2 linked regions of the Lytechinus pictus genome follow. The protein of the gene in region 2 purifies or fractionates together with the protein of the main gene of each other region. This does not show direct contact. Links are inferred from orthologs where the notes say so. Each region holds a gene or a part of one and is shown on either strand. Other genes may lie near its edges. The genes, in order: neurexin-4-like and contactin-2-like.

Evidence for each region.
Region 1: the proteins of contactin-2-like (region 2) and neurexin-4-like purify together in Drosophila melanogaster (affinity purification with western blotting; 4 studies listed by BioGRID). This does not show direct contact. The link is inferred for Lytechinus pictus from reciprocal best matches to the Drosophila melanogaster genes Cont and Nrx-IV.

The regions. Positions count from the first base shown.
Region 1 is NC_087247.1:43,054,211-43,071,355, forward strand, and holds the start of neurexin-4-like, read right to left. Parts: upstream 6,935-17,145; coding exon 6,851-6,934; intron 5,381-6,850; coding exon 5,272-5,380; intron 1-5,271. UniProt on the Drosophila melanogaster protein: Seems to play a role in the formation and function of septate junctions.
Region 2 is NC_087247.1:8,599,352-8,616,153, reverse strand, and holds the start of contactin-2-like, read right to left. Parts: upstream 7,472-16,802; 5' UTR 5,998-7,471; coding exon 5,940-5,997; intron 4,715-5,939; coding exon 4,424-4,714; intron 3,807-4,423; coding exon 3,711-3,806; intron 1-3,710. UniProt on the Drosophila melanogaster protein: Required for organization of septate junctions and paracellular barrier functions.

The sequences.
Region 1 (17,145 bases), about 34 Mb from region 2:
TCCATAACAGTGATGATGTTCATCATGTTAATTCTCAAATTAATAGGTATTTAAAAATTTCCCAGCTATGCTTATCTTGAGTGGCAAATCTAGCCCTGACGCACGTTATGAATATCTTACCTATTCCTGACAATATTTCATGGGAGAAAATACATTGCAATAACTTCAAATGTCCGAAAGACACTAAAATTTGTTCTTTTTATTTCAAAGTTTTCACAAATGCACTGCTTTTAATGATTTTCTTTTCAAGATTAAAAGGAAAGATTCCCCTTTGTGTGAATTTTGCAACAAATTCCCTGAAACATCATATATTTTGTGATTGTGAAAAGGTTTTACCCCTGTGGCAAGATTAATACAGAAGTTTAATTCCAATTTTACTTTATCTAATTTCAGAAAAATGTTTGGTGATCCGAATGATATAAGTTCATATCCTACTTATTTTTTATTACTGAAGTACTTCATTTTCATTTGTAAATTCAGCAAAGTTGATCCAAACTTTGGAGCATTTAGATCTTTTAAGAAGCAAAATGAAATTGAGTATTGTGTGACCAAAAAAGAAACAAACTCGCAGCTCATTTTAAGAAATGGAAAGTTCGAATTATAATTTTTGTCATCTGCACAGTATCATTGTATGTATGGTATCCTGTTAACTGTGTATGACCATACTTTTTTTTTTCCTGTTTTTCATAAAATAACATCAAAGTTGTGTTAAATATCACGTCTGTGTCACTGCATAAAACTTTCCGATTTTTTTGTTTTTGTTTTTTATATTATCTATATATTTTTGTTTTTTGTAATGATTACTTATAAATAGTTTATGTTTCATTTGTTATTTTTGTTTATACTTGGTCTGTGTTGACCCAATAAAACATAAAACAAAACAAGTGGAATGCCTCTGGCCGTCTCACCTGCACCACGCGATTCAATATAGCAGCAGTGCTGATTTTGAAAACTACTATAACTCGCACAAGATGTTCAGTGATACTTGGTTACTCGTATTTCCACGTTTTATGAATTAGACCAATACACTTATAGAGATACGATGGCAATTCAACAAATACCCCCAACGTGGCCAAAGTTCTTTGACCTTACATGACCTTTGACCTTGATCATGTGACCTGAAACTCGCACAGGATGTTCAGTGATACTTGATTACTCTTATGTCCAAGTTTTATGAACTAGACCAACACACTTTCAAATTTATGGCTGTAATTCAACAAATACCCCAATTTGGCCAAAGTTCATTGACCCTAAATGACCTTTGACCTTGATCATGTGACCTGAAACTTGCACAGGATGTTCAGTAATACTTGATTACTATTATGTCCAAGTTTCATGAATCAGATCCATAAACTTTCAGTTATGATGGTAATTCAACAGATACCCCCAATTCGGCCAAAGTTCATTGACCCTAAATGACCTTTGACCTTGGTCATGTGTCGTGAAACTCATGCAGGATGTTCAGTGATACTTGATTAACCTTATGTATACGTTTCATGAACTAGGTCCATATATTTTCTAATTTATGATGACATTTCAAAAACTTAACCTTAGGTTAAGATTTTGATGTTGATTCCCCAACATGGTCTAAGTTCATTGACCCTAAATGACCTTTGACCTCGGTCATGTGACATGAAACTCAGGCAGGATGTTCAGTAATACTTGATTAACCTTATGGCCAAGTTTCATGAACTAGGTCCATATACTTTCTAAGTTATGCTGTCATTTCAAAAACTTAACCTCAGGTTAAGATTTGGTGTTGACGCCGCCGCCGCCGTCGGAAAAGCGGCGCCTATAGTCTCACTCTGCTATGCAGGTGAGACAAAAACCTTTAATTTTCACTAAACTACAAAGACAAAACACTAAAATATTCAGCTTGAATGTTTATTTGCTTACACGTACATGTAGCATGAATTATAGACTCTACAAGAAAAAAACTTTGACAGCAAACAAAATCAAGACCAAATCCAGACATTATTTTTTTCCTGATCAACGTGACATTCTTTCATCTCTTCATCAGTCTACAAATATTTGACCAGCCTGCATCACCAAATAATGTTTGTTCAAATTTCATACCACTGAACATTCTAAAATAGGACAAAAAAGTTCAAAAGTGCCACTATGTTATCAGCTGTGCTTACACAGTGAAATCAGACTCAGGGTAAACTGCCTTACATACATGTACATACACATGGACACGAAAAGCCAGTCTTCAGCAAAAACTCCTTGGTACAATTATTTTCAAGATGAAACAGCACTTAGGCTGAAACAGAATCTTCACCCTTCTTTCATTATGTACATAAACATGTACGTGTACAAGCATGAATAATTGAATATGACTTGTGTGGGGAAAATATTTTCATGATACCTGCACTGTTTATGACACGGGGGGGGGGGGGGGGGGGGGAGAAGGGAAGATCGCAGCACAATTGAATGGTTGGTATCTGAGTCTGAGCTCTGCACCTTCACGTACATGTACATGTAGCCAAAACATGTAAGGAATAGGAAATTTAGTCAAAAAAGCGGTCTCTAGAGCTTCACAAACGCGACTAAATCAAGTACACTTACAGTATGTTACATACTATTACTGAATGGCTACACTGACTTGCTTTCGCACTGAGTGAAGTCATCAAAAAATAACCCAATAATCTAGTAATCACCAAATAAAGAAGTATAATGAAAATGTAATGACAGCTCGCAGTGCAACTGCAAGAAAACTTGCTTTGAATTGAAGGAGAGCCATCTGAACTATTCAGAAAAGCAATATCGTACCGTTAGAATACTCAACCATCATTAACCTTCAGTAAGACGAGGCTTTTACTGCTGTATTAGCTCGCCAACCAAAGAGGAAGAATGCTATTCATTAGACCAACCCCCCTAAAATACAGAAAGATGTTCTGAAAAGATTTCCCCCATTATTCAACACTGTAAAAGGCATACATGTTGGCCTAAATATATATATGTAAACATGAATACATGTAAATTTAGTTCATTTTCATACAGTACACTACATGTACATGCATTATATAATACAAAATGCATTTATGTAACTGTTGAAGGCTTTTTCATTATATTGGTAGATCTTATTTTTCTTACTTTTTCAGTGTCTCTCTCTGTCTACACAACCTTAACACTTTTCTTGTCATTGGTCTACTTTTCTTATTAAAAACAAATCTGATGCCGCCAGGGTATAACTACTGACAGACTACTGTACCCTTATAATTTTTTTACCAACTATGTTAACTAACAGAACATGTATAAATGCACTTGCATTTTGCAATTGTATTATACATAATTTATTAATGTTTTGAAAGTAGACCTAATCAATTCAGAACAAATTTCAAGTCTTTAATAGGCAATTTACTGTACATACAGATATATCATACATGCACATCTATTTTGCTGATGCAATAATTAAAACAGACTTACATGTATAAGACAAACTACAATCGTTTAGGTTTTTAAATCAAAACCTTATATTGTCTAAGGAATATAAATTAAGAACTAATTTATAATGTAAAACCATCATGTACACGTACATGTATACATGTAGTACCAGGGCCAGGGGATTACTTCCCTGATTGTACAGCATGGAGTATTTCACATATAGTGCAAAACTTCATCCATACATGCCAACATCAATCAATGTTGGAAATTTCTTTTTAGAGAAGAGCCAAACCCTCCTTTAATTAGCAGACATCTAGCTTGTTAGAGCATCCCCTAACATTAATCTTAGAAGGTGTATTCAGACTGCCTCGATCTTTAGAATACCATTTAATGACAAGAACTTGTTCAGGCTTGAGAATACCTAACAAGTGGAACGCCTCTGGCAGTCTCGCCTGCATTACGCAATTTAATATAGCAGCAGTGCTAACTTTGAAAACTACTATAAAATAATCATTCACAAAAACATCATTCATATAATGACATAATACCACGTTCATTGACCATAAATGACATTTGAACGGAGACTTAAGACTGTCAACTACACCCATGTCCACATTTCATTCACTCTATCCATAAACTTTCAAAGTTATGATAGCACTTCAACAATTACCCCAACATGGCCTAAGTTTATTGACCTTAACTGACCTTTGACTTGGTTTTGTGACCTGAAACTCACAGGGGATGTTCAGTGATGCTTGATTACTCTTATATCCCAAGTTTTATGAACAAGATCCATAAACTTTCAGAATTAGGATGGTAATTCAACAAATACCCCCAACGCGGCCAAAGTTCATTAACCTTTAATGACCTTTGACCATGGTCATGTGACCTGAAACTCGCACAGGATATTCAGTGGTACTTGATTAACCTAATGTCCAAGTTTCATGAACTAAATCCATAAATTTTCAAAGTTGTGATGGTAATTCAACAAATACCCCCAACTTGGCCAAAGTTCATTGACCCTAAATGACCTTTGACTTTGGTCATGTGACCTGAAACTCAGGCAGGATGTTCACTAATACTTGATTAACCTTATGTCCAAGTTTCATGGACTAGATCCATAAATTTTCAAAGTTATGATAGTAATTCAACAAATACCCCCAACTTGACCAAAGTTCATTGACCCTAAATGACCTTTGACCTTGGTCACGTGACCTGAAACTCGAGCAGGATGTTCACTAATACTTTATTAACCTCATGCCCAAGTTTCATGAACTAGGTCCATATACTTTCTAAGTTATGATGTCATTTCAAAAACTAAACCTTCGGTTAAGATTTTGAAAATAATTTTCCCAACATGGTCTAAGTTCATTGACCCTAAATGACCTTTGACCTTGGTCATGTGACCTGAAACTCAGGCAGGATGTTCAGTAATACTTGATTAACCTTATGTTTAAGTTTCATGAACTAGGTCCATATACTTTCTAAGTTATGATGTCATTTCAAAAACTTAACCTTAGGTTAAGATTTGATGTTGACGCCGCCGCCGCCGTCGGAAAAGCGGCGCCTATAGTCTCGCTCTAATATGCAGGCGAGACAAAAATTACTTTTCACATTCATACCGACCCAAGGCAGACCCTTACAATCAGTATGGCCTGATAAGCAGATATATTAAGGTGTGGGATTCAAAATCACCAGCTCAGCAGCAACTCACGGCACCGGCACCCAACTACTAGCTAGGTTGAGAAAGTTGCCATAATTTGCTTTAGCATTGCCAAACTACCCAGGACCTACGAAAAATCTGTGTGAAAATTCTCTTAATTTCGGCAAATTCCTACCATTTAGCAGGTATACTTAATTCACAGTGTACACTGCCAAAATTACCTGGTATTTTCTGATCAGGGTAGATCAGGGCGAATTTCCCAAATACTTGTACTTGGAACTGACAAACCTTGAGGCGGTCTGAAAAGTCCCTGGCCTCGTCTGAATATGCCTTTAGTGTTGGTGTCGATGTTATCAAAGTATCAAGAGAATGAATAAGTACTAGAAGAAACTATTTCAAGCCCCATCAATAATAACAGAAACTTCTTTTCCCAACTTCATTGGGTAGAGTCAGGTGAGGGTTTTTTTAGAACCCTTTCTGTTAAGATGCTCCTACTGAAGAATTGTCCAGATCATTCTTTAATTAAATTTTGATAAATTTGTACTGGTTTCACTACACACAAACATGTAAACAATAACAATAAACAAATCATTTATAAAAAGAGCCATCCATCTAGTAAACTATAAAAAAAATAAGACAAACGTGTAAAAGTACAGAACTGTAGAGATAACTTTTAACTTTTCACCAGGAAATAATGTACAATTTAAACATGTAGGTCTTTTTTGTAGTTGGTTTCTACTCTCTGTATTCTACAATTCAAAAACCCCTCTTTCATTCTAGGCCTAAATGTATCAAGAGTATGTCCTGCTATACAGTACATAGGCCTACATGTACATGGGGGAAAGCCTTGCAGTTTTACAGTCCATGCCATGTACATGTATACATTTTACAGAGAACCAAAAGACTTCTACCATTTCTATAGAAAGTAAAAATCATTTAATCCCAAATGGCATCCATTAATGCAAACAGTGATGGCTCATTGAAGATCAAACCCATTCAAGAATGCAATTCATCATTTTGCTCAGCCTAAAACATGGCTCAAATTGATATTGATTCAGAAGGTGCCTAGCTTTCTGTCAACAGCAAATCATTTTTTCATATTTTAGGCCAAGTAAAAAAGAAAGTAGTTGATCGTCCAGGTTTTTCGAGAGCAGTGATGAGGGAGGTCCTTACTATTTAAAAAAAAAAAACAAGGAGTCATTTTCTCGGCCTATTTTTTTACATCAGTGATGAGGGAGGTCCTTACTATTTACTATTTTTTTGCTATTTTTTATTCAAATGATTGTCAGGCCATGTCAGGCTCGATTAAGCCAGGTGATCGATGCATGCTCAATATTTATAATAAATGAGTAAAAACATATATATGAATATATAAATAAGTATATAGGCCTATATTCAATTAATTGGAAATCTATGAAAAATGTATATTATGCAATAAAAAAATTATTGATGTATTTATTATACTGATGTATGGATCTACCTGTACTAGTGTATTATTGTAAAACAAAATGCTCATGTCAAGTGAATGATTAAAACATTATTCTACATTATATATGTAAGGGTAAAATATACTTGGGGGAGGGCATTTAGAAAAAAAGAATGAGAGCCATTTTTATTACCTTGGAGCCATGGTTTTCCAGAGCCAATCTCTTTTCAGCTCAGGGCATGGTTTCGGATCGCAGTTTGTCCTGCTTTTTTTTCCATTTAAATAATAATAATTCTCAGACCAATAGTATCATGCGTAGGTTCATTTGCCTATAACCTATCAAAGTACCTGGCGGACATCCTGTCCCCTCTCACTAACTGCTCAGAACACACGGTTTCCAACTCCAGTGAATTCGCTGAATTCACATCGGAGCAGACAGTTAACGAACAGGAATCCATGATCTCTTTTGATGTAGTCTCCCTCTTCACTAACGTACCGATAGAGGGCGCATGCAGTACGGCCCTGCAACGCATGCAATCCGATCCCACATTATCAGAACGTACCACACTTATGCCCGAACAGATAGCCGAACTCCTGGAGTTCGTCCTCAGATCCACATATTTTCTGTACAGAGGCTCTTTCTATGAGCAAAAAGAAGGAGCAGCAATGGGTGGCCCAGTCTCAGCGGTTGTGGCTAACCTATATATGGAAGGTTTTGAACAGAACGCTTTGCCCAAGTGTCCTTCCACATGCCACCCTCGGGTGTGGAAGAGATACGTCGGTTTACTTTCATAATCGTAAACAGATCCGAAACAGACAGCCTACTCTCATACATGAATAGCCAGCAACCGTCCATCCAGTTCACTCTGGAGACTGAGCAAGGAGGGAAATTAGCATTCCTTGACACGCTAGTGACACGCTTGAACGAGGGCGGGAAACTCTCCACCTCTGTCTACCGCAAGCCCACTCATACAGACCAATACATACCATATGATTCTCATCACGACAAATCGGTCAAGAAGGGTCTTGTTAAATGCCTGTTCGACAGAGCAGCACGTATCATAACTCACCCACCTGAACTCCCGAAAGAAAGAGCACACGTACGTGGCGCCTTGTACAGCAACGGCTACCCACGACGTTTTATCAAGAACACTTTCAAGAAAAAACAACCACCAAGGGATCGGAAGGTTTTCAAGACTTGCACAGTCTTGCCATACATAGATGGCCTCTCACAACAACTTAAACGCCGATTAGAAGGTCACGGTATCCGAACGGTTTTCCGCTCGGACACCACCTTACACAAACAGCTTGTACACCCCAAAGACCCTATCCCTGATCACAGACGTGATGGCGTAGTATACAACATTCCTTGCCAGGGATGTGACGGGTCTTACATCGGAGAAACAGCCCGACCGATAGTTGAACGCATTTCTGAACACAAGTTACAGCGAACCGACACATCCGCGGTGGCAGAACATGCTTGGGAGAAGCAACACCACCCAGATTGGGAGGGTGTACATTGCATTGCCAAAGAGAGACATTGGTATACACGCAGGATTAAGGAGGCTATTAGTATACGTCTTTGTCCTAACAACTTCAACAGAGACAGCGGGATCGACATCCCCGACTTCTGGATGCGAACCATCCGACAGCACAATACCCCCTTACCTGGCAGTGCACGCCGACCCGATCGTTCCCGGCCCCGAACGAGGGACCGCTCAGCTAGTCAGCCCCCGCCCACGGGAAACTAGCGAGCCCGCCAATTTTGTCTAATTTGCATATTGCCGACCCACGGCGTATTTGCATATACCCCCGGCTTATTTGCATATACGGATTACCGGCCGCACCGCATACCGACGCAACGGATCAATGCCCACCTATTGTTCTCGCGTTCGTGCGTACGGTCCTGGAGATTAGTATAAATAGAGTACTTTTTCAGATAATTTTCGTCACTTGATAAAGAGTTGCAGCGGCACTCGAAAGCTCGTGAACTTGTAAGCTAGTGAACACTTTTTGCGAGAGTGATCACGAATTTCCTAGAAAGCCAGTGAACACTTTTTGCGAGAGTGATCACGAATTTCCTTGTTGACCATAGTAGATTGCGAGACAAATGAATACCCTCTAGCGATTAATGTTTGATATTGTTTATTCAATCGCTATTCATTTTTTTTTATTGATATCAATTGTTAAAGGATTTTTGAATTAATTGTTAATTATTCACTGAATGTTTATTATTTCAATATTTGTAACTGTAAGATCTATTTACTAACTTAAAATTGTCCATCAATTTGAAAAGCTCAAGGAAGGATGAAGTTTATCAAATTTGAACAGAATTGGTAGCTTTTGGTACTTACCGGAATCCTTTCATAATTTTCAATTGCTAAATAATAAATAGCTCACTTGAAAATAATTTTTGAATATTCAATGCATTGCCGCTGGAGAGCTAACGTTATAAAACTCGCCAGAAAATTATTCATTTCACAAATTCACATGTCTCGCCAGCACAGTCAATCACATCACTGCAGCACACATGCACACCCAACACATGCAGTCACAAGCACAGTCAATCACCGCAACACACACCGCAGTACAGGCACTATCACTCACCAAAAACCCCCAATGAAATACAAATTACGTCATTAAAATTGATTTATCTGTGCCATATTTCCAAAGCATACAACAAATTTAGTCAGATTTAGGAAGCGGGGTCCCCAAAAATGCAATGAAAATGCAATAAAAATGTGATTTTTTCAGAGTTTGCAAACTTTATTTTCTCGCTAATTTATGATTGTATCTTCAAAATTACCAATAAAAAACCAAATCAGAATTTTTTTCTTTATCGCAGTTACGGCGATATCGGACTTTGCAATTGTTTTAGGAAGTTGCGGGAGAGATCCCAGAGCACATGAGAGCAAATCGCTCATCAATCTTGTGTATTATTTTGCTTTTCAGCAGCCATAAAAATAGTAATATATCAAGAAAATTGATGCGGCAATCAAAAAGGGAAGCGGGTGCAGACGAGCAACATCACTTTTTGATATTTCTTTAGCCAATTTTTGAAAATATTAAATAGTAACAAATTTCATGCGGTGGCCAAAATAGATGCACGCGAGGACGATCAACTACTTTCTTTTTTTACTTGGCCTTACAAGTGCTCAAAAGGTTGAAAAGAAAAAGATCTATGCACATCTAAATGTACACATTGTACAAATTTTGAGAGCTAAACATGCAACAAATTGTTAATAGTCAATCTATAGAATAAACCCATTGAAAAACTGCAAAGGACATACATGTACTATGGCTCTTCCATTATAAACAATTTGCTATTAAAATCTATAGATAATTGCCTTCATAAGTTTATACATAATTGATGTCACAACTCATAATTATTATTAGCCTACTCGTAATTAATCATAAGGTTCTGCACCATCTGCTGATTTGAGAATGTTATTACCACAATTACTGACTCTATTGATTTCACCAACAAACCAGAACTAAACCCTATCCAATTAGCAATACTTGTTTACTCAAGCTGTTGATTGGTTTAAGAATAGATGGAAATTAATACATTGTTGTATTTTAATACATTTTATCCTGAAACATTCAACTGCTTTTAAAGGACATACATGTACCAGGGTTCTCCACAACCTGAAATTTAAATGTGTAATTATAAAATACTGAGAAGATGTCACACACACACACACACACATTGAATAGTGCAAGGAATATATACATATTGTGAAAATGTCCATTCATTATTCCTCATTAGAATGAAGATTAAGAAAAACAAAATTGTTTACAGTTTGTAAATCATGTATAAAGAATATTTTACATGACAAAAAAATGAATACACCAACTCGCATTAAAATCATTAAAGAATAAGAAATGGGATTATTCATATATACATCTATGTCATAAATCTTATCAATCATACTGTACAGACTGCTGATCATATTGATGATGAAAATTGAGATGAAATATCTGAATGTTGCTAAAAAAATACTCAACTCTCCTTTCAAGCAACTCAGCCCTTGCACACAATGTACATGTAGCTTATCATTTTCATAACATGTATTCCGGAAGTGATTAATATAAAAAGTGGAAAAACAAAATGAGCTGGGAGCTAGGGGAAGACAAATTGAGGAGTGAAAATTGCCATGTACTCACCATCTCTCTGGTGGAGGCGTGCATAGCGAGGGCTTCGACGATCACTAAAACTGCTTGAGGCTGTAATCATTGAGTCAGATATGGCCCCTGATTCCATTCCAAGAGCTTGGTTGCATGGTTCTCCTGCAATAATTATGAGGGAGAAGACAAGTAACGTTATTATTATCGGATATGCTTTACTTTTCAAAAACAAAACAATAAATACAGAGTTATACAAAAGGGCACAAGAAAATCCAATAATATTTTCATCATTACAAACATGATTATTATCATAGCAAGTGAGCTGTGGAAAGAGTAAATAGTGATATTATTGATAGGGGAAAACACCACATAAATAAAACAAATGTCACAGGATTACACAGATGCACATTACTGAGAATATGAATTCTAATTTCAAAAAAAAAATGTCAAGCTTGAAATTTTGTAGAACATGAAGAAATCAGAACATAAATGAACTAAAAAAATTGCAATAATACAGGCCTACACATGTGCACCAGCTTTAATACACACTTCAATTTATGTAGAACTGCATGTGGCAATATTTCCACATCTGCTTTCAAACAAGCCAATTACAATTGGTTAAACCAACATCATTAGTAAATACAGGCATCACTGAAACAGAAACACATGGTTTCACTTGGCCTCATGATGTCCATACAATCTTATAGCCTGTTCACATGCCAAAAAGCTTTTCAAAAATTTAAAGGGCAAGTCCATCCTAACAAAAATTGAAAAAAAAGGAAAAAAATCAATATGCCTATGGTATTCCAAGCAAATTTTGTTCCACACTGTAATGTAAAAGAAAGTTTGATTCCTCCCTGGACGTGTATATGGAATTGCCATATTGTCATAATTTGATGAAGAGTTTCCTCATTATCAAATGTGCAAAATATGAATGATTGTATTATCATGCAAACAAAATACTAAATAAAGGGTGAGTGAGTGTCATCATCAATTTTCTCATTTCTTTTACAAATCCCTGTGTTGTGCATATCATACTCCTTTGTGAAAAATAAACAAAATTTTGAAATGCCATCAAGTTCTTATTTCACATAAGTTTGGATTTAAATTAAATTTCCAGCATTGCACTTGTTTGATTTATTATTTTTTTTTAATTCAAATCATTTTTTTGTTGGGGTGAACTTGACCAAAAGAAAAAATGTGAAAACTGAAACCTATCAGAGCATAACTACAAATAAAAACATCATACAAAGACCAAACTCTCTATAAATCACGTAGGCCCTAATTTATTACTAAAATTTCTGGTACAGGGTACTTAGTTGTAACCCATGTTTCCCTTTGCATACTGCTTCCAAATAGTAGGCCTACCATCCATTACTGTTGTCAAACTTGTCTTACATTGTAAGTACAGTTCATGATTTGATGCAAGCAGTTTGCACAAATTCACAATTTAAAATGAATTTTGGCCTTAATGATACAGTCACACCAAAAAAAAATGACTTCAGACCAATCAAAGCCATAACATTACTTTAATGGCATACCATTATCGGTTTGAAGGTTCTGTTGGTGCATACACTTTCACATTACACCAGACTGTGTTCAGATCATAGTATAAATATACATGTAGCACATGAAGAGCCTACATGTATACAATTTCAGAGAATCTACAGTATACAAATTATGACTATATCTTTTTCAGTGTGAACAAGGAGAACATCTCCTGGAGACTCACAAAGGGGACATGGCAACCACAGCAGGGGAAGGGCATGGGACTTGCTCAAGTTATTTGAAGGCTTCATTATTAAAATTCTAGATTTATTAGATCCAATAAAAATTAAAAAAGAGGTGGCGAAACAAATGACAAGGGCTAATCCTAACACAACGTCACAGGGCAAGGTTTACAAGTGATTTCACCAAAATGACAAAAAAAATACCTTATTTCCATGGTACATGTAAAAACAAAAATTAACAATATCTGTATTCTTATTGCAAAATAGAAGTCATGACATATGTAGGTCTTTTATAGAATTTATCATAATTATTCATGTTTATTATTAAAAGCATTTTTCAAAATCAAATTTTAATACTAGAGGGAATACATGTACTTTACATGTGCATGAAACGAATGAGCACCTTTTGAAACTCAGTTTTAGTCGAGAACTGCATAAATGTGGACAAGTCTACATTGTAATACCTCACAAAACACCAGTGTAGTAAAAAAATGCCCCTCCATCTCAAAGTATCTCCGTGCAATTAAAGTTCAATAATCAAATTACCCAATACAACCCTTTAAAGCTGGAACAGCACAAGGTTGAGCACATGTTTCTGGAAGGGATTTGGATTTATATGTACAAGTATGTGCACGCATGTATATCTAGAGACAAATGATTCATTGGATGTATTTTTTTTTAATAGTTTTAAAGGCAGAATGAGCATTATGAAACACATAATTACAGATCAAAAACGAAGTTCAATACCAAATTGCTATAAATGTTTCCTGCTTCATATACATGTACATTTAGGCCTTAAATCCTCATTGCAAAAGAGTTAACAAGAACAACGTACATTCTATGTTTTATAAACCATCTTTATCATATTGTGTACTAGTGGAGGCCTACATATTGAAGACTTTTTAAAAGTTACTTGGAATTATCTTCTGCATCATGTATACAAATATTAACATATATAGTCCTATACAGTATATTTTTGGAGGAATGCAAAATTCATCAAATTATGATTGAATTACATAAAATTCAATATACATCATCTGTTCTGACTTCTGATGGTTTGTCGTATCATGGCCAGAATCCAAATGTCTACTTGTAAGTTGTATTAAGTCACTGTCCTCTGCCAGGTTAATTCTCATTTTTTCTTGTTTTCTGTTCTGCAATTTTAAATCCATTGAGTTCATTTGATGTCAAAATACATCTATCCAAGATTATGATGCTTTATTTTACATACAAAGTGATGCGGATCAGAGTATTTTTTTAATATCACCTCGGAAACAGCATGAAATGGATACTTGCTGCAATCTACATACTAGTAGTCTGGTCTGTTAGCGTAAAAAAATATAAGTAGGTTTATAAGAATGAAAGAATCAAATTACAGTCCGGATCATTTTTTGTTAGAAATAACACCCACTGTGTGATCACACTTCTACACCAATATGCAATAAAGGCATCCATGAGTCCATATGAGACTGAAATGCGTTAGACGAAGATGATAGGGTAGCACTGAATAATGCGAGTGACTCCATGAATTATTACTTCTTGCATGCAGCTGGCAAGATCTTGCACTCTAAGGGGTGTCACCTTGGAGTGGATCCTGAGGAGCTCATAACTCCAGGGAGACAGAGTAGATGATGGTGATTTACAAGTTTAATAGCCTGAGTCTTCACTATCTCAAAGGAGGTGATGATCACTTCTGGCAGGAGGCTTCTCCAAACAGATTAAAAATAGAAAATGATGTTTCAATAATTTGCTGGCGAGTGGCAAAATGCATCAAGGATGGGATCGCTCATCACTACATGGGAATGTTCTGGGAGGACAAAGCCACATTCAATCAGAGCACAGACTTTATACCCTACATACAAAATCTTAAAGGGAATACTGTACTTAGCATTTCAATAGGCATACAACTTGAATACATGTAGGCCTACAGTCTGGGCCTGGAGTATGTGAAATTTTATCCACTGAAGGTTATTTCATGAATGGCAATGAATAAGTCCCCAAATGAAGATTTCACAAAGTTCCCACAATGATATGATAATTAAAAAAACAATGTTCCAATGATGAAAATTTTATATTTTCCAGGTCAAATTATGCTTTGAGAATAGGAACAAAAAAGCAGATAGACCTACATTATGATTTATTATTTCATAATTATAAAAGCGCAAGTATTTAATGAATTTGAATCTGATGAGTCCATATCGCTTTCTCTTTTTATTCAGATCAACTTTATGTCATGGTACTGGTACCAACACTGAATCACATAGATCTACAAAGGTTGTAGGGTCTACATGTGTAACATACACTGTATAGGTACAATATGTACATGTAACATAAAAGTAATGTAAGTCAATACTTGTTTACAAGGTGTTTTACAATCTAGGAGGTGTTCATGATTGAGGTTCTGCTAGGAAGAGAAGACAAAATAAAATGATCAATTACTTCATCCAATTAATCAACAAGTAATTGATAAATTTATTGTACATTATTTTCTCAGAGTGTGCAGACCTAACAGGTTCTGCACAAGGTCTCATTCTACATGTAGGGCCTACATCTAATTCCACAGTCAGTGCATTGATATCCAACATGTAGAGGAAGAGCACTGCTGAGGACAACTCATTGTTCTGGTATGCCATAAAGCTGACTGTAAGCTCCCCCATACATGTACAAAATACCTCCACATAATAACACAGGTAATGAAAGGTTTCTCCATTCATACTGCTGCTCTATTGATGCAATGCTCTTGATTCACCCATAATAAAGCAAAGAACCTACAGTACAGGTCTATGTTACAATCACACATCAGACTTCTCCGGTGTGAAAGTGCTGAATAGTGTGTCTTTTCACGGGGCTCACAACTTTTTTGCAAAGGATGCAAATGACAATTTCAAATTGCAAATTCATATAAGTTTTTCTTCAAATCTCCTATGTCCTAAAACAATTCTTGTGCAGTTCATGCAGAGTTCTCACAAAGTTTGTGTGAATGTCACATGAATTGAACCCTGTTAATTTTAATTTTTACAATACTAGTTACACCATATATATATAGGGACAGTGATTTTCCGTTTCAAAAAATTGCCTTTTCCGTTTCAGAAAATCTCAAATTCCGTTTCAGCATGTCAGAAAACGGAAATTCCGTTTCCCCGTAGACTTTGTACACACGGAAAAGTGACAATTCCGTTTACACATTGAATAGCAAAATCACAACACGTACACTCGCACTGGTCAAAATTTGTATCTGCTACTGTACCAACACAATAGAATCCGTTCTTATCGGATCTATGCGGGTGCATAAAATATTTTTACAAACCCATTTAGCATGCATACATCCTCACCTTTCACATTATTAGCATTATTTCATCGATAATTTTGGGGTTTTTTTGGACATCGTTATCATCAGTCAACGGCTTTTGCCAATCCGCCATCTTGGATTTTAAGACCACGATATCGTGCTGTTACATCTTCAAACGTAGAGGGCAGCAACACACGACCGTGTAGTTGAACGATATGTGTGCATGTGAAGCCCAACCCGGCAGGCCAAGTACGGGTGAGGGGTACAATCGAGTGTGCTGATGTCAAGTGCAGTCACGATGTGTGAATTGTCATGATAGTAGCGAAGTGAGATCGTGTTTTCTGGGGTTTTGTGGCCATTTAATATTCTCATTTTGTTGTGATTTTGGAATAATTTCTGTTGCTATTCTGTGTATTTTGAGGGAAAATACGTTTTCCGTGATTTTCCGTTTGAAATGCCACTTTCCGTTTCAAAAGGCCCTTTCCGTGAATTCCGTCCGTTTTCCGCGATCGCGGAAAATCACTGTCCCTATATATATATTTATATATATATATATATTTTTTATATACTTTACTTTTTGGATATATTTATATACATATATATTTATAGATATATATTTACCCTTATATTCACCTCTTAGTTTGTATAATGCTTTATCATATATACTTATATGTCTTTTGCACATTATCAGTTGTTCCCCATTCTTTCCCTTTTTCCCCCCACTCTTATGCACCAGTTTATTATGCCTTTCTTTGTAACCTGTTTGACCCACCTCTCACCAATTCTCTTCTTTTTCATCTCTTCCTTATACCCCCCCCCCCCTATCACTGTTTTGTTCCAGATCCTGTTTGATGTTGCCTGCCCAATTATCTTAATCCCTCATACAGGGGTGTGAGTGGTCACAAATAAAAAGATCTGAAAAAAGCTGAAGAGTGTTGAAAAAGTCTGAAATAGGAAGAGCTCCCATACTTTTTGTACAGAGGAAGGCCAAAAATAAGCTGAAATTAAGCTGAAAATCAAAACAAAAAAATCTGAAATCAGATAAAAATCTTAACTCTCATACCCCTGCTCATAGCTTTAGGTCTTTCACTGGCCTTACTTACACCAACTTCCCTATGTGTCTGCCTACTCCTTTGCTTTCATCCCCTTCTCTAACCTGATTGGTCATCACAACTCTCTAATGCCCTTTTTGTCTCCTTGTTTCTAGTGTTGCTGTTGCATGTCTGTGGTCTATATTATGGTTGTTCCACTTTATATGTTTGTCATTTTGCCTTCGACGAAGATTCTGCTAGGATCGAAAGCGGCCCTTTTGACTCTCTAATTTTAATTTTTCTTATGAAGCAATATACTCAGCTGTCAGTGTTTGCATAAACCTACTTGAGATATCTCCCATAATTTGTCAATTTCACTTTAAGCTCCGGTCTGGGTCTTAAAGAAATTGCCCGGGGGCCGCTTCTATTGACGAGTGGATACCATGCGCGACCATGGGGTCTCGAAAAGCACCCTAAAACAAGTATTTTCC
Region 2 (16,802 bases):
TAAGCTGCATGTAATAATTCATCAGTAATTTACAATTCACTCAAGTACAGGGGTTCAAGAAAAAAAATGTTGGAAAGTTCTAATAAGTAGTTCTTATTGACTGAGAAAAATTTGAAAAAACAAAGGTTCAGTGATGGAAAACAATTTACCCACATCATACCTCATCTTCAAGCCCGAGATGGAAAAAAATTATGTTTCTTCTACAGATTTAAATTTCATGTGTAATTAAAAGCAATTTATGACACACACCTTGTAATCATTATAATAACATAGGGTGATATGTATAGAGACACGAAGGATGTCACATATATGTTAATACTTTCACACAATGCAGAAATATACATTCGATGGTTACCTTGAACAGAATATAAAGATGGAATGGCTCCAGATTTTAGCATATTTATGAAAATGAATATTCATGAGTGTTTGGGGGTTGATGATTTCAATGGTACTGCCAATTCCTTCGGCATATGGAATGACAATGGAATGATTTCTGATGTCATAGCGATATTTGTATATTAATAAACACTGTTACATGACTTGTTGTAACACCATTTAGTTTGCTCAGTGAGTATTCTATGCAACCTCAAACAAAAATAATGGAGATGATTCTGACTCAAAATGGGGCATTCATATTGAGGTAAATATATGGTGAAGTATATACAGGTATATATATGTTTGTGCCATTGTCATCATGCACTTGAAGGAGTACAGGATGATTATGCAATATGCAATGCATGCCTCGTCGTATATAATAGAAATGCGGTATAATTATCAATGAATCTGGCAAAATGCAGGTCGCATGTCAACATGACACATAGATCAGAAATGGACCTCACATTTATTGAATACTAACTGGCTTTGGCTACACGAATATTCACAAAATAATTTTGATGAGAGGAAATAACCATTTACTTCAAAAAAACAAAAACAAAAAAAAAACACTGCCACAGACTTGCATTTCTACCACTGTGGATGGATGTTTGCTAATTTGATTTAAGCCACATGATACAAGTTGTTTACATCTCACAAAGGTATTTTGATTTAGGCATTGACCTTACATAATGCATGGGTTTTCTGAGCTACAATTTGGACTCTATGCAATTCTCTACAATTCTGGTCTCATAATGAAGATGAAAATATAAAATTGACTTCCATATGCTCAGCAGTAAAATTATATTCATGGACAACTCAGAGTGTCAGGTTGTTTTCACTTGAGTGCCTCTTTTGACGCACTTGCACGCAAGTTGTTAAATTTTGTGATTTAATATTAAAATCAATTTTCGTCAGTTTGATACCCAAGGCAGCAGACACGGGCATTTACTATTATACAGATCTTACAAAGTACAAGTGCTTGATACCTTGACAGAAGATTCGCAAATACTGACCACTCTGTTACCTACATAGCGAAACTACTTTCCACATGAATTTCCTGATAATGATCACACTGTTAACTATATATAGTGAAAATATGAATGTTGAACTCCAAACTAAGATGGAATGGATAAAGATTAGATGGATAATTGACGAACAAGCAGGAAAGACCTGAAGATATCTAACATCTTTATGATGAATCTCACATAACAGCAAGAGGGACTTATCGACAGTGTCACTTGCATCACACAAGCTGATAAACGTGTTCAGAAATATCAAAATGTCATTTAACGGGAATTCAAAACTGATACCACAACCTGTAGAATAAATCGTGTGGTTTGGAAGTAATGCATTCCACAAGGGTATATTCCTCATTTGTCAAAAAATGTTTTCTCTTCAAGGTCGCAAACTGATTGAATTTTAATTGATTTATGACAACCTTGGGATTAAAAAAAAAATTGATTACGAAACCACACACAATCCTTCAAGTTTAACTAGCAGGGTTCCCACAGAAATTTGAAAACAGAATTCCATGACTGAATTGCTGCTTTCCATGACTTCCCGGGAGTTATGTAGAATTTGGGATGTCACAAAACTGGGAAAAATGGAAATCATGAACACCAATTATAATAGCAGAGTATGATCACAGAGTATGAGAGTTGCGAGACAAACTGGAAAGCTGCCATAGCCAAGAGGTAAATGCAATTCCATGAATTTTCACAAATTTTCCAAATTCCCTGACTTTTCCCTGACTTTTTATTACCAAAAATTTTTCCAGGATTTTCAACGACTGCGAGAACCCTGACTTGCTATAGTTCATTGTGGTTCTCGATATTCAATACCCTTCCCAAGATATGAAAAATATGTCATTATTGTGATTGTTTGAGCAGCTTTAGATGCATTACAATTTAGGTTGCTTTCAACTCATTATAGAAAGCATGAACGCAAACCATCGTTGACATTTTTTTTTCCTGAATACATTTATCAGCTGGTCTGTCCTCTGAAGATTAAATAGAAGTGAAGTATTAAAGTGACAAAGCTGAAAGGTAAACAAACAAAGTCTAACACTAACTATCAAACTGTATGGTTAGTCCACTAGTCATGTGCTACAAATTGCATCATGGGAAATACACTATAGACGATGATCATGATGGATACAAACCGTCTGCTCGCGGCAACATTTGACAATGTCGATGAAGATCCGAAGAAAAAAAGAGAGGGCGCCCCATGACGATTACATAATGAAATAAAAACAAAATGATTCATAAAGAAATAAAACAAAGAATTCTTTTTAAAAATTTGTGATGTGAATTATCATATTGAGCCTGTGGTGGATAAAAAGTGCACAAACATATTTCAAATGATGTATTATTCACATCAATATGAGAATCAGCTCTTGCTAAGTTGATGCTCATAACATGTTGGACAATGATATTCACTTAGTTTATCAAACATGTATTAGCAAGTCCTCATTTTTTTTTTTTTTGCTGTTGGTGAATTGCAATTCATTGGATCCTTGAAACAAGCAAAATAAAAATGCAATTTTCAAAATTGAGAAAAGAATAAAGACCTTTACGCATTGTTTTTTTCACCAGCATGTATAGATTTATTACACTGCATTTGCAATTCATCACAATTTTGCAATGAAATTAACTGCTTCATTTCACACTGCAGGGCCACAACAAAAAGCTGTATAATTGGCAATTTTTGTATATTGCAGATTAAGGAAATTACTATGTATTTCTTAGTATAAAATTTAGGGGATTTCTGTATAAGCTGAAAAGACAAAGTTATATATACATTATGTATCACGATATGAGATATTTTAAATGCGCTGAAAAATTTACTTAGTATTGAATTCATGACACTTTTTTTAATTGAAATGTCAGCTTTATAAAGAAAATACAGTATATAACAATGAGTTGGTGGGTAGAAACTGGATAATCATATAAAAATAAAGAAATATGGGGAGGGGTATAAAAAAAGAGGATACGAATAGAGATAGAGTGAAAGAGAAATAGAAAGACAGAAAATGAGAGGAGGCAGAAATAGAGAGGAAAGAAAGAGATTACATAGAAAGAAAGAGAAACTTTCTTTCAAAGAGAGAGAATTGAGAGGAGATGAAGATACAAAATAAAGAAAATAAGGGAGAAAAAGTGAGCACAAGAGCGAGAGAGAGGAGAGAGAGAGAGAGAGAGAGGGGGGGGGGGTGTTAAGAGAAAAACTACTCCCAATGGCAATAACAAAAGGAAAAGGAAGAGAATAAAGATGTTTGAAGTAGAAGTAGAGAGGTTCTGATATAGTATATGGTTAACTGATCATGTATTGAAACTGACCTGGATAATGTGGGGGTGGGTTACAGCTTATACAGCCTCCCTCTCCGGCATTTAGCGTCGTAGATAGTGAAGCGTCTGGTTGAAACTGATCAACGTCTGAAAGAAAAGCAGAGATTTTGTTATGGTCTGTACATGTGCATAGATAACATATTTCACAAACACAATGTTCAGTAACTGAGCTTTATACTACTGCTGTTCATTAACCCTCCCCCATGTCGTGTTTCACTGATGTAAAGAGGAAGTCCCGAGGAAACAGATGAGGGGTTAACTTGTGGATGGGGGGGGGGGGGGGGGGGGTGTGGTCAAAAATGGAAATTGAACATGAGGCAGAAACAGATGTCGGCTAAAGCAGAAATGCAGGTACATTGGGACCGTGATGGGCTAAGTAAAAAAGTTTTGCAAGTCTTGAAGAAATAGAAATGGGGCCCCGTTTTACAAAGAGTTACGATTGATCCTATCCACCTCAAGTATATGGAAATCCATCAATGTCATAATTTTTTCTCTAGGTAATTTGCACAATGTCCTTCGAAAACAAAGAGAAGCATACTGAACTGTCAAGAAAACAGTGAACGTATGAATATACATCATATCTAGAAAATATTTTGAACAAACATGTGTTTTAGATGTTGATGGCTTTCCATATTTGTGGTTGATTGGATCAATTGTAACTCTTTGTAAGACTGGGCCCTGAACCGAATTCCTGCACCACTTACAGGCAAATACGAGCTCAGCTGGCAAGCTTCTGACGATCCCCACGTGATTCTCAGCCAGGCACACGTACTCCCCTCCGTCCGTGGTTCTGTCCGGGTTGGTGATGGTCAGCTGTCCCGGTGTGATGATCAGCCTCTGGTTTCCTGCCTGCGAGAGGGCGGCACCGTCCTTGGTCCACGTGTACGTGATGGGTTCATCACCGGTGGCCCGACAGTTGAGGGATACCGTGTTCAGGTTGGATGCTGTATCGAAGATGGTCTCCTGTGGCTGCTCTACAAGGATTGGGCCAGTTTCTTACAGAACGAAAAAAAAAGTAAAAATTGTTTGAAGATGCTGTTCAACCCTGTAAATCAATAGCATTTGTATCAACAAATAAACATGCATGACATTGTAAATAGTTATATTAGAAAAAATATTATATACAAATTAAAGTTTCTAAACAATCATCATGGATAGGGTCAAAACAAGGAGGGAATCCAAAGCTCAGCCTGATAGCAGTCATACTATATTTAACAGGCTGGTGCTTCTAAGTCACGAAGCCACTGGAGATAACCTTCTCCTTTGTGCACATGACTCCGCCTGTGGCCAAGGCAAAGACCAAGACCGCCAATATGTGGCCTTGAGCCCTGATCATGAACATATTGGCCCATATTCTGAAGTCGGGTTTAACTTAAACTGAGGTTTAAAGTTGTGGTTCAAGTATGGATAAGCCGATTGTGACATAAATCACTAACGGTAGAGATATCACATTTCAGCTCATTTGGCTCTCAAACCATTCGTAATTGTCTAGGAAGTATAAATAGATGATTGTCTTCACCATCGATGAATCAGGAAAGAGCACAGTAAACATAAGAAACATAAAACTTAATAAGAATGTTGACACTTTTGGCTTCCCATAATTTTAGCACAGAGTTAGACCATGGTCTAATTAAGTTAAACCTGACTTCAGAATACAGGCCATTAAATTTATCTTTTGGGGAAATTTGGCAGAAGATTTGGTGCGCCAGCTACCGGTTGCAGTGGACAGACAGAAATTCGCAAGGCCTCATGCGATTATGCTGCGCTGGCTGAAGCGACTTGGCCGGCTTACATGAAATTATGCTGTTTATCAGGGTCCAGGAGCTGAGAGAGAAATTTGCTGCATAGACTGTTTTTGGTGAGTACTTCCTCTGCTTTTGCCATATGGTTTTCATTTTTTAAGCATCACAGTCACATTTCAGTACACTAGCACGGTGCGCTGCCTTTGCCTGCGCGAGATGTCGACCCCCCAATTCCACCAAATTTGCTTAGAACTGATGTATTCCTATGACTAGTCATACCTACAAATCATTTTTATGGCGATCTCATTTCCTTAATAAAGTTCCTGATTTCACTATCAAATTCCGCTTACTCAAGAAATACCAGTTATGTTTCAACAAGAGTATAAATGATAATAATAATGCAAATACTACGTATTTTAGAGATTTAATTCATTGGGTTTGTTTCCTTCTGCTCGACACTTATAAAGCCATTACTCACTTGCTTGTACAGCAGCACCAAAGAGGGCAGCACAACTCAAAATTATCTTGTAAAACATCTTCACCTCTTACGCTGTGTATTGGATGAACGTTACTTTACTCTGTAGATAGAGGAAAGGGGATGAAAAAAGAGAAGTCATATTAAAAATATATGCATAGTGAAGAATCTAAAATATATATTTAAAGATACTGAAGGTATCGGCAAGCATAATAGAGCCTTTTAGTACTCGTACATTTATAGTAATCTGCAGGAACCATGAGGATATGAAACAAAATAAAAACAAGCTTTGAACTACATGTAGAACAATAATTCGAATTTGTGTTAATTCTTCGACTTTTAGAAATTTATGAACAAAATCAATAGCACTTACAACTTTTGCGATGTCATACTTCGGTACCATAATCATGGAAACAATTGATAATGACTGACAATAAAATTTTCAGTTTTTTATTGCAGAACCCTTCAAAACATACTACTGATTAATCTTAATCTTCAATTTGAAATGAACCAATTTTGTCAATAGAATTAATTAAATATGTTGTAAGGCATGCAAGTTTCATTAAAAAAATTCAGAGCAACCCTTTGAAATTGCTGGACAATAATTACTAACCGACAAAGGTTTTTTTTTTAAACGGAGGAATATGCTGGACACTTTAGAACCTCATTTAGCCACCCAAGACTGAGAGGTATTACAGGGATCAAGGAAAAGCCTAGTAGATCACAACCAAGAGCGATTGCTGGCTGCCATGGCACTGGTCTGAAGAGAATATGATTGATTGTTAAGATGCATTTTGCTCTGATATATAAATGCATGGTCCAATATAGGGAGGAACCACAGGATGGCAATACAGAGCATGGGTGAATTCACCTCTAAAATGCCCCCCCAAAAGTCCCAGAAAACTAGAAAAAAAGAGCACCTAAAATTCCCATGGGGTCGATCGTAAATGTAGTATTGTCCTGGTGAGGTCAAAATGTAGCCCCAGAAAAAACAGAAATTACCTGCCTTACTTCTACTGTTATACAGACGATTGCTGTTTCTTTATCCCATGTAATGGAAGAATCTTTAAAAACAATACATTAAAATGTTTATTTTTACTATACATCCTTTCACAAGTAAAGATCAGATAAACAACCGACATCAGATACCACCAAACCATCATTTCTCCTCAGACAGACAATATTACTCTGCAAAGTACCTAACTAATTACAAAATGATCTGCCTTGAAATGACACAATGAGGATGATAGCGAAGATGAGAAGTCTTAACTTGGTCTAGACAAAGGCCCACCATCTCATAATTATTCTAATCTATTTTTGGGGTTGACACATGTAATACGAGATGATACAGGTTGACAGCATGGAACAGGGCATTATATACTTGACTGGATGGTGTTATATTACATGGCTGGAAGAGACAAAGGCTGGATGACACCTCTTTGTGTAAAGTGATACTTGACATGAATACAACAGCAGCTCCTGCCGGAGAAATGTACAAGGGCTTTTTTTTTTCATCATAACATTTCCATTTTATCTTTAATATGATAATCTGCAATTGACAGCAAATTTACTGAAATATACAAGATCAGCCATACAGCCATTTATAATTTGCTTACAACACCTTTGTGTAAATTCTAACATGTGATCACATATGATGAAATCTAAAAATATGGTTTGGGATATGCACATAAATCATTTTTACAAAAGATGTTTTTCAATGAACTGACTGCATAATTGCAGACCACTCTATCGAATGACCCAAGCTCAGCTTTAAAACCAAGGTTATATATATGATTGTTGAACCTAAAATGCATTTTTTTTTTTGGGGGGGGGGGGGGTATTACAATCATTTCAACTGGAATACGGACAAGCAATATTGCCATTTCGCCTCAAGTACTTGTTTATGTGAGTGAAATTCAGCAATTATGTTACTGCTTAACAACCACCGCCCCTGATGATAGATATTCACATCTACCCAAGATGACACTGAACACCATTGTGAGACTGCAGGTGTATACAATGGTGTAAATTTATAAAGTAAATATTCACATCTACTGAAGATGAGACTGAACACCAGAGTGTCACTGCAGGTGTATACAATGGTGTATTGTTATAAAGTAAATATTCACATCTACTGAAGATGACACTGAACACCAGAGTGTAACTGCAGGTGTATACAATGGTGTATTGTTATAAAGTAAATATTCACATCTACTGAAGATGAGACTGAACACCAGAGTGTTACTGCAGGTGTATACAATGGTGTATTGTTATAAAGTAAATATTCACATCTACTGAAGATAACACTGAACACCAGGGGAGGGTTTCATCAACATTTTCGTCTAAAAAGTTGTCAGTTCTGACAGCTTTCCGTGATAATGATTGGCTGAGAGGCACTGTTACCATAGTAACTGTCGTATTAAACAGTACTTGTCAGATAAAACGTCTGATAAGTCCTTCCATGAAATGCTCCCCAAAGTGTATCTACATGTACAGGTGTACAATCGTGTATTGAAAAAAAGTAAATATTCACATCTACTGAAGATGAGACTGAACACCAGAGTGTAACTGCAGGTGTATACAATGGTGTATTGGTATAAAGTAAATATTCACATCTACTCAAGATGACACTGAACAGCAAAGTGTATCATGGTGTATCATTATTTGAAAAAAAAAATGTTTTGCTATAATGTTCCACACAATGTGGAATGCTGGTGATTAAAAGTAACTATGACAATTATAAATTCTGATCATACTGATGTCCTACAGCTATATGTTACACAGGGAAGCATCATCACAATTACATCGAGAAATATTTTGGACAATTTTTTAAATCTACTGTACTATTCATGAGTCGGTCCATACATTTGGTGAAATGAAAATGAAAATCAGAAGTTGCCCAACTATGAAAGCAGAATAACCAATTCTAATGACTGAACAAAGTCATAGATCACTAAAATCTTCACTTGCATTTTTCTCATCCCCATCCTACCAACAGAAATAAGCGCTGCATACTTTTACCCAAATACTATTACTAAAAATGGAAGAGTGGTTTCCTTAATCAACAGTCAATAGGAACTTCAGTGATCCATCATATAGTCATTTAACGCATAAATCCCTAAAACGTGCCTAGTATGAATAAAAACTTGATGAATGTGGAAATCAATACATGGTTTGGTTTTCTTCTTTGGGCTTTGGTACATGACTTGACTGATGATAAAGCATTAATGAGTATGCCTTCATTGTTATTCATAGAGCAATGGCATATACTGCCATGTGGTTAGGTTTGGCATTTCCGTCTTAAGCCTACAATCTCCAAAGCAGAAAATCTAATAAATATTTTTCTACTCTCTGTAATTAACAACAAAAATCCCTTGTTTATCATAGTCTCATTCTGATTTTTTACAATATTATACCTTACTTACATGGGTATGTTACATACAACAACTTTCTATCTACCTTATATGATAATCTATGGCATGCAATTTGCATCATATTCTTCCCTGAAATACCATATTCACAAAAGTGTCGCTTTTCATGGTATTGCAAAAGTGGAAAACAATGTTTTGATTTGCAGAAACTTTCCATTGTACAATCCATCCATTGCTCTTCTTTGTTAAATATCCCATATCATATAACAAATGGCTTGTTTCCCCCAGTGAACCGAACAATGGTTAATTTATCAGCATGGCTTTAACTCAATTCAAGCTTCCTTTCTTGATATACATTTCACTAGTGAAGAAATAATGAGAATTCTTGAGATAAAGTGGTAAGAAAATCCCCTTCATGTTCGAGCCCATCCATTCCATTGTATATCCCTGAATTTGGAAGGGGTATGGCGTTACATACCAAGGGGGACGGAATCATCGATCACATAGCGTCTTCATGACCAAGTACCCCACTACATAGCCTGTGTGGGACTATCAGCTTTCCGAGATTCATTTCACTGTATATCCATCCCAAACAGAACAGATAAATCCTCTATAAATAGCAAAACACGGCTCTGGCACGAAAGCAGTTCCAGCCGACAAAGGATAATATCCGAAGTCCCTTATACTGTACAGTAATACTATTACCAAAATGTCTTGGTTGGGACTAACACAGACGTATGTAGAATAATGTTGTTGAACAAGAAACATACTGACATATTTGATTACAGGACACTTGCGTACACTTTGAATATCCAGTGTATGCTCATACTAACAATGAATCAGAATGACAATGTATACCCAACGCTTCTTCTCAGGGGCTGACCTAGGATTTTCCAAAAGGGGGGGACATTTTTCCTAGGAAAAGTTTGACAAGGAAAAAAAAGTTTTTAACCAAAAATTAATGATATTTCGTCCCCGAAAAAATTTGACAAGCAAAAAAAAAAAAGGTCCTCACTTTCAAAGGGGGGGGGGGCACACTTCTGTTTTAATGGTATTTTACATTACACATTTTGATTTTGCTTCTCAAAGGGGGGGGGGGGGGGCATGGGCCGGCTGTGCCCCCCTGGATCCACCAGTGCTTCTTCTCATGATGATCTAACATCTAACATGAGCCTAATAAACTTAAATGTATCAGGAGCCGTGGAAGAGGGGGGGGGGGGCCCACTTTTTTCCAAAACCGTGCACAAAAACGTGAAAATGACCATATGATTGTGATTTTTCGCATGGTCAGCCCCCCACTTTTGGCTCAGCCCCCCCCCCCCCCCACTTTGAAGACCGTTCTGCGGCCCCTGTGTATGTACCAACCGGGAAATTAACATCGTAAAACTAGTGAAATAATCATTTTCTGAGAGATGGCAAAATCCCTACACAGCATCGTGAATGTGAACTGCAATGTTTGGCGACATCCTCGAGAAATTCCTTCCACAGACAAGAAAATACAAATGAAAACTGTGTCATCAATTCCCAACTGGCCATTGATCAAACTTGATATTTTATATGTCTTCATTTTCAAAGGGCATCCTGCATAGATCCATTAGTACACTCTAAGAGATCTTGAGAGACAGCTCAGTGTTGTCTTAGCTAATACATGAGGCCATTTTTATGATCCCGCTGTGCACACTGCGCCCGGAGATGAATCAATAAGTCAGGAGTCACCAGGACCTAACTTTACAGCAAACACTATACCATACCATGGAGCTATAATAGCTCCATGACCATACTGAGCCTCGTTCTTTAGAAAATTCCAACTTCCACTTTCCTTTCCTTTCTACATCTTGAAAAATTATTTCCATTTCTTACTTCAACACAAGCTAGACTACAGTCTAGGTATGCTTGAAAAATGCCAGAGAATGTGAAGTAATATATTTCACGTTTTCCTCAAGTGACTGGAAGCATTCCGATGCTTCGATCTGTAGACTTTCTCATTGCAAACATTTGTTATTGGATATTGTGGTGCTTTGTGTTTGCTTTGCATATCAAATATTAGGCATGATGATGGAGCTATGCATGTAACTAGATTGAATAGATAATTAAAATATAGATAGAGAACATAGGCAAGGGTTACACATCGATCACAGCTTATGAATCAGGAATCCAGGGAGGTTTGAAAATAATTTTCACAAACTCTATAACACAACCCCACCCATCTTCCCAACAATGGCCATGCTCATATTTTTTGAAATCTTAAAAATATAAATTATCAATGATCACAGAATTTAAGATTCATCATGATTACAAAAACAGCACTTAACAGACATGCACTAATATAAAGACATAGTATTAGAAGAGAAATTTGTGTGGCTTAACTTTAAAAAAGAAAGAAAAAACAAAACGAGGGATCCGATAATACCTCTTGTTCAAGACCTGATAGTTATCAAAATGTCAGTTCTAAAATAGAAGCACTCAACCCTGTGTAGCTACCCAATAAACCGGGACAGTCTTGAGTGATTGTAATGTTAATTACCCTAAAAGCTCTCGAAAGCTCCCCATCGATACACACAGAGTACATAGATCTTTTTCCAAGGGATGATGGTTAAATAAAACATGCATGGCACCAAACCAGGGAATATTAGATGAAAATTAATGGAGTATATGATGGTGAGGCAATTTCATGATTAAACAGAAAACAACAAAATGGTAAGGTTTATTGCATTAAGAATTAAAAACAAATTGATGGCAAAATTTGTTAAATTAAAATAAAATTAACATAAAAATCAAAAATCAAAATTTTTAATTGGAAATAAATGACTTGAACTTGTAATATAATTATTTCATAATTATTATGCAAAGTGGTGGAAACTATCTAGATGAATTGTCAAAATAACTGAGATAAAAGGTAATGGCTACAGCAATCTATTCATGAAAAATATACATGTGGAAAACTCAAACTAAAAAGCAGGGATATATAAAGATCATACGTTCCACATAAAAATTCAGTTGAGGTATAATTGCAATCTTAAGCAGCGATGGCCGTCTCCTGCATTCTTTTACACTATGATATTTTCTTTCAAGTTAATGATGCATCTTGTTAATATTTATTTTTCATTGCTTATATATTGTCCATTGTATTATTGTTTTGTAAAAATTGAATGTACTACCTTTGTATATGTTATGCTGCATATTTATCTTGAAAATTGAGAAATAAAATAAAACAAAATTAACTCTTTGCATGCTGAATTAATATTTGGGGGATAATAATGACAATTGTTCCATGTTATTTTCTTTAATTCAAGATTTCCATATTGCACCATTGATACTTATTATTATTATATAGATGTTATCCAAGAAATATTGCCTTTTATTAGCTTATCTTATTTGAAGGTAGGGGATTGTTAGATTTGCAACATCAGCACGCATAGGGTTAAAAAAAGAGTGTTCTGGCTGACAGTGGAGAAGAGAATTGAATGAGGGATAGAAAGATAACAATCAATTCATCAGAACTGGATAATTGAGTGAGAATGAAGATGAAAATAACAAAGGGATATATCATACTTGTTTGTGATGACTAAGACTGTGAGTAAACAGATGACCTTAATGGTCTGGCTAGTTAGCCACTGGTCACAATGGTCAGTGTGAAGCTATTGTCATACAAGCCAATCAGTACAGGAGAAAGCAAGGTGGGCTACACACGTGTCTCTATGACTAATTTTAATTACTCGATGATGAGTGCGAGTGTGGTGCGTAATTCATTAAAAAGCTCATTAGAATTCAGAATGACTGGTTTTGTATTTTGGGAATTCATTTCATTATGGGAGCTTTCTTAGAAAAAAACTCCATCACTGCACCATATGGTCATATTATACTTTTTTTGAATAATATTTGAGTAATGTTTGGATTGTTTGCTGTCAAGGATCATAAAAGATAACCAATCGAATGGGTAGATCTTGTGTTTTGAAAGAAAAAATATATAGTATTTAGAAGAAAAAAAATTATTTTACAATTCAAGTCACATTCTACTTTAAAAAGTGTATTTTTATAACTTATCTACTGCTTGACTTACTGCTGCATGGCAGCAAAGTTGTAAGAGCAGTGTTTTCATAACTTACTGACCCAAGTGTGATCAAAGTCATTATGCGTGTGCACTATTGTAAGACAACAATCATTATTGCCAAGTCCCTCGGAAATAACAGAAAGCTCTAGGTCCTCTAGTTACTTAAATTCAAAGCATAAACATCCAATAACATTTCGGTCAAATAAAACACTGTCACGTTTCAAATAACTAAGATATCTAATGTACACTTATATGGCTGGAGGTTATGACAATTTATCTTTACTAATTTTCATGATTAAAAAAACCCTATAAGCACCAAATATTTATGAATTGCATCACACATTAACTCTCTAAATCCTCTAATGCCATGAGAAATCATGTAGAGCTATGGGCATTCTCTTACAAACACATTTATATATAATATGAAGGCTATACTTTCAATGATGCAAAAATATTTATTTTAATACTGTAATTGTAATGATTCCATGAGTAATTGTTGATTTCACTCTATTTGTATATAATGTATTCTGTTTTTACTTTATAATTATATGTTACATACATTGAATTGCTATGATGTTGAGTTATATGTTAAACTGCAGGGCGCGTTTGGAAAGCAGTTTTGCATAACTGAACAGGCCTACCCTGCAGTATAAAATATATAAAACCAATATAAATAAATAAAAAATATACAGAAGATATAGAGATTGTTGGTAGTTAACTATTGGATAAGGAGCCTGTCACATTTCATATATCACATTTCGATAGGGATCCTGTTTAGCCGAGAATGACGTCTAATTGTATCACACTAATTTGTTTTGGAGGTTACAATACTAGGCAAAAGAAGGTCCGCGTCGCGTTGAGTTAATTGAAATGTGTCCATGATGAATAGGTCTTGAAACGCTGCATTCTATGGACCTATGTGAGTCATGGGGGAGAGGGATAAGGTTGGCCGTTTGGAACCAAAAGGACGCTAGCTTTGTATTGCCATGTAGAGGAAATTACCTTCTTGCCATTAATAGAGAAGACCATCAATTAGGATGCCAGAGGATGTTTGCAATACACCAAACAACCATCAATTGAAATAATTGCCTAACAGAAAGATGCATATACATGCAATTAACCATTCAGATGGGTGTTTCATAAAGCTGTTCCTAAGTTAAGAGCGACTTTAAGAACGACTGGTGATCCTTTCTTGTGGAAAATGGTATATTCATTGGCGATGGTTAAGCGCGTAAGAAAGGTTCACCAGTCGTTCTTAAAGTCGCTCTTAACTTACGAACATCTTTATGAAACGGCTCCCTGATCTGGCATGTCAGACGTCATATTCATGTTTGTAAGTTGATGGCATTGGGAAAAGAAAAGGGAAAGTCATTCACTCGTAAAAATAAATGGTCTAGTTACTACACCCTCCAAATATAATTTGAAAACAAAATTGAAATAATATGAAGTGAGGTATTTGGAGTAGTGCAGAAAACACCTAAAGCTGAAACAATATAATGAAAAAGAAGGAATCATTTTGTCTCTTGATGTAAATACAGGAGAACTTTACAAAACACCCAGTAAGGTCTATGCTTTGACACTGTGGTTTTACCTATTTTGGGGGTTAAAATTGCCATTGGGCATTTGAGAATGCTAATTTGAGAGTTTGTATGAGGCACACTTACCGTTGATAAAAATAGAAAAGGAGGCCAATTATAAACAGATTGGAGATCTATTATACTAAGATTTGTGGGGCGGCGTGAGGGTAAAACAGAAGAAACCCTTTAAATATCACACCAGCATGAGAGGTGGGTACACTCTAATTATCAAGACACCTTACTAGTGTAATGAAAGGAATAAAAAAAAACACCCTATAAAACATGACTTGTCCAACAGTCACTATACATGAAGCGGACAGAGAGAACACTTGAAGTTTTTGATATATTTACATGTACCACAATACAAGTTATTGGGGGCATATTTTCTATCAAAAATATAATTTTGAATGGGTTTGATATTGAAAATATATCTATACCATTGAAAATGTGCGAGAAAGTCATGAATCTGACTATAAAAAAATGCAGCAAAAACCACATAACCACACATAATCAATGTATAATGTAAGCATCAACACTATTTTGTTTTAGTTCAAAATGATATAATCCAAAATGTATTTAATGAAGATACAAAAACAATCTCAAACAAAGTAAAGACAAATAAATTTGGTCTAAAAATATCCTAGAGTTGCCAGTTTAAGACATGGATTTAGAATTACATCTTAGCTTTCCGGAGACATTTAAATTGAACAAGATTGAGCACCACTCCACTAAAAAGTTCTCCCCCACATACAGGACAGTCCCCTGGAAGTGTAACAATAACCACTTTCATTATGTTTGTTTACATCAGAGAGTGCTATCATCAGGAGATGGTATACTACAGTGGTATAACCATCATATCATAACATCCATGTTTAAGTTATGTGAGGGTGTATGTCAGTGCGCCACCAAAGATTAATGATGCCTACGTGAAGAGACATGGGGGGGGGGGGAGATAAGGTAAATGTATTTGGTTGCAGATGCTGAACAACATCATACAGCACAATACACTCTTCAACGTGGAAAACAAAGGATCTGAATTTGATAAAATGAATGCGAAAAGTTGGATTAATGAATTGTATGACGCAAGAAGATGGTCTTCACTCCATTTTGATTTATTGGTTTATTTCAATACGTACATTAGAATTCATTCATCCATATTGGAATGATATATATTGTAACATGAACATGTAAACTGTGAATATGAATTAATTAATTTATATTCAATTAATTCATATTTTCATTTTTAAGAAATAAAATAGTGTAGGCCTAAATGAGTAAGGTATTATGTTGCAGGTGTACAATGACTTTCTATGTTTTCAATCACATTTTAATTGTTATGACACTGCTTGGTAAACTATGCAAATAAATTGAAATGATTAAATCTTACAGAAAATTATTTCTAAAAGAGCTCTAATCTCCATTCTCAATATTGATTAGCTTTGAATGATACTTTAAGATGGAAGGTTCCACATGAAGGTGTATCAGTGCACTTGTATCACGCTGAATGCGAAGAATGGTTGGGAGTGTGAATGACTAAGGAGTGAAAATGTAACCTCCTTGGTAATACTAAATATGAAATTACATAAAAGTCTGCCTCTCTATTACGATCTTGATTCAAAGAGTGACCGAAAAGAGTTTCCCCTTGGGAAATTAACAGTAGACAGAGAGAAGATGAAATACATATACATGTATACAAGGTGATGTTCTCGTTTGCACCTGTCAACAATACAGTGCCAATCATAATTCTCACCCCCCCCCCCCCGTTATTTTATCTCATCCTTGTTGTCAACTTTTGATATCAGAATACTTAAGGAATCCTCTTAGAAATGACCTCCGCCTTAAATCTAAATTCAATGTTTTTTCATCT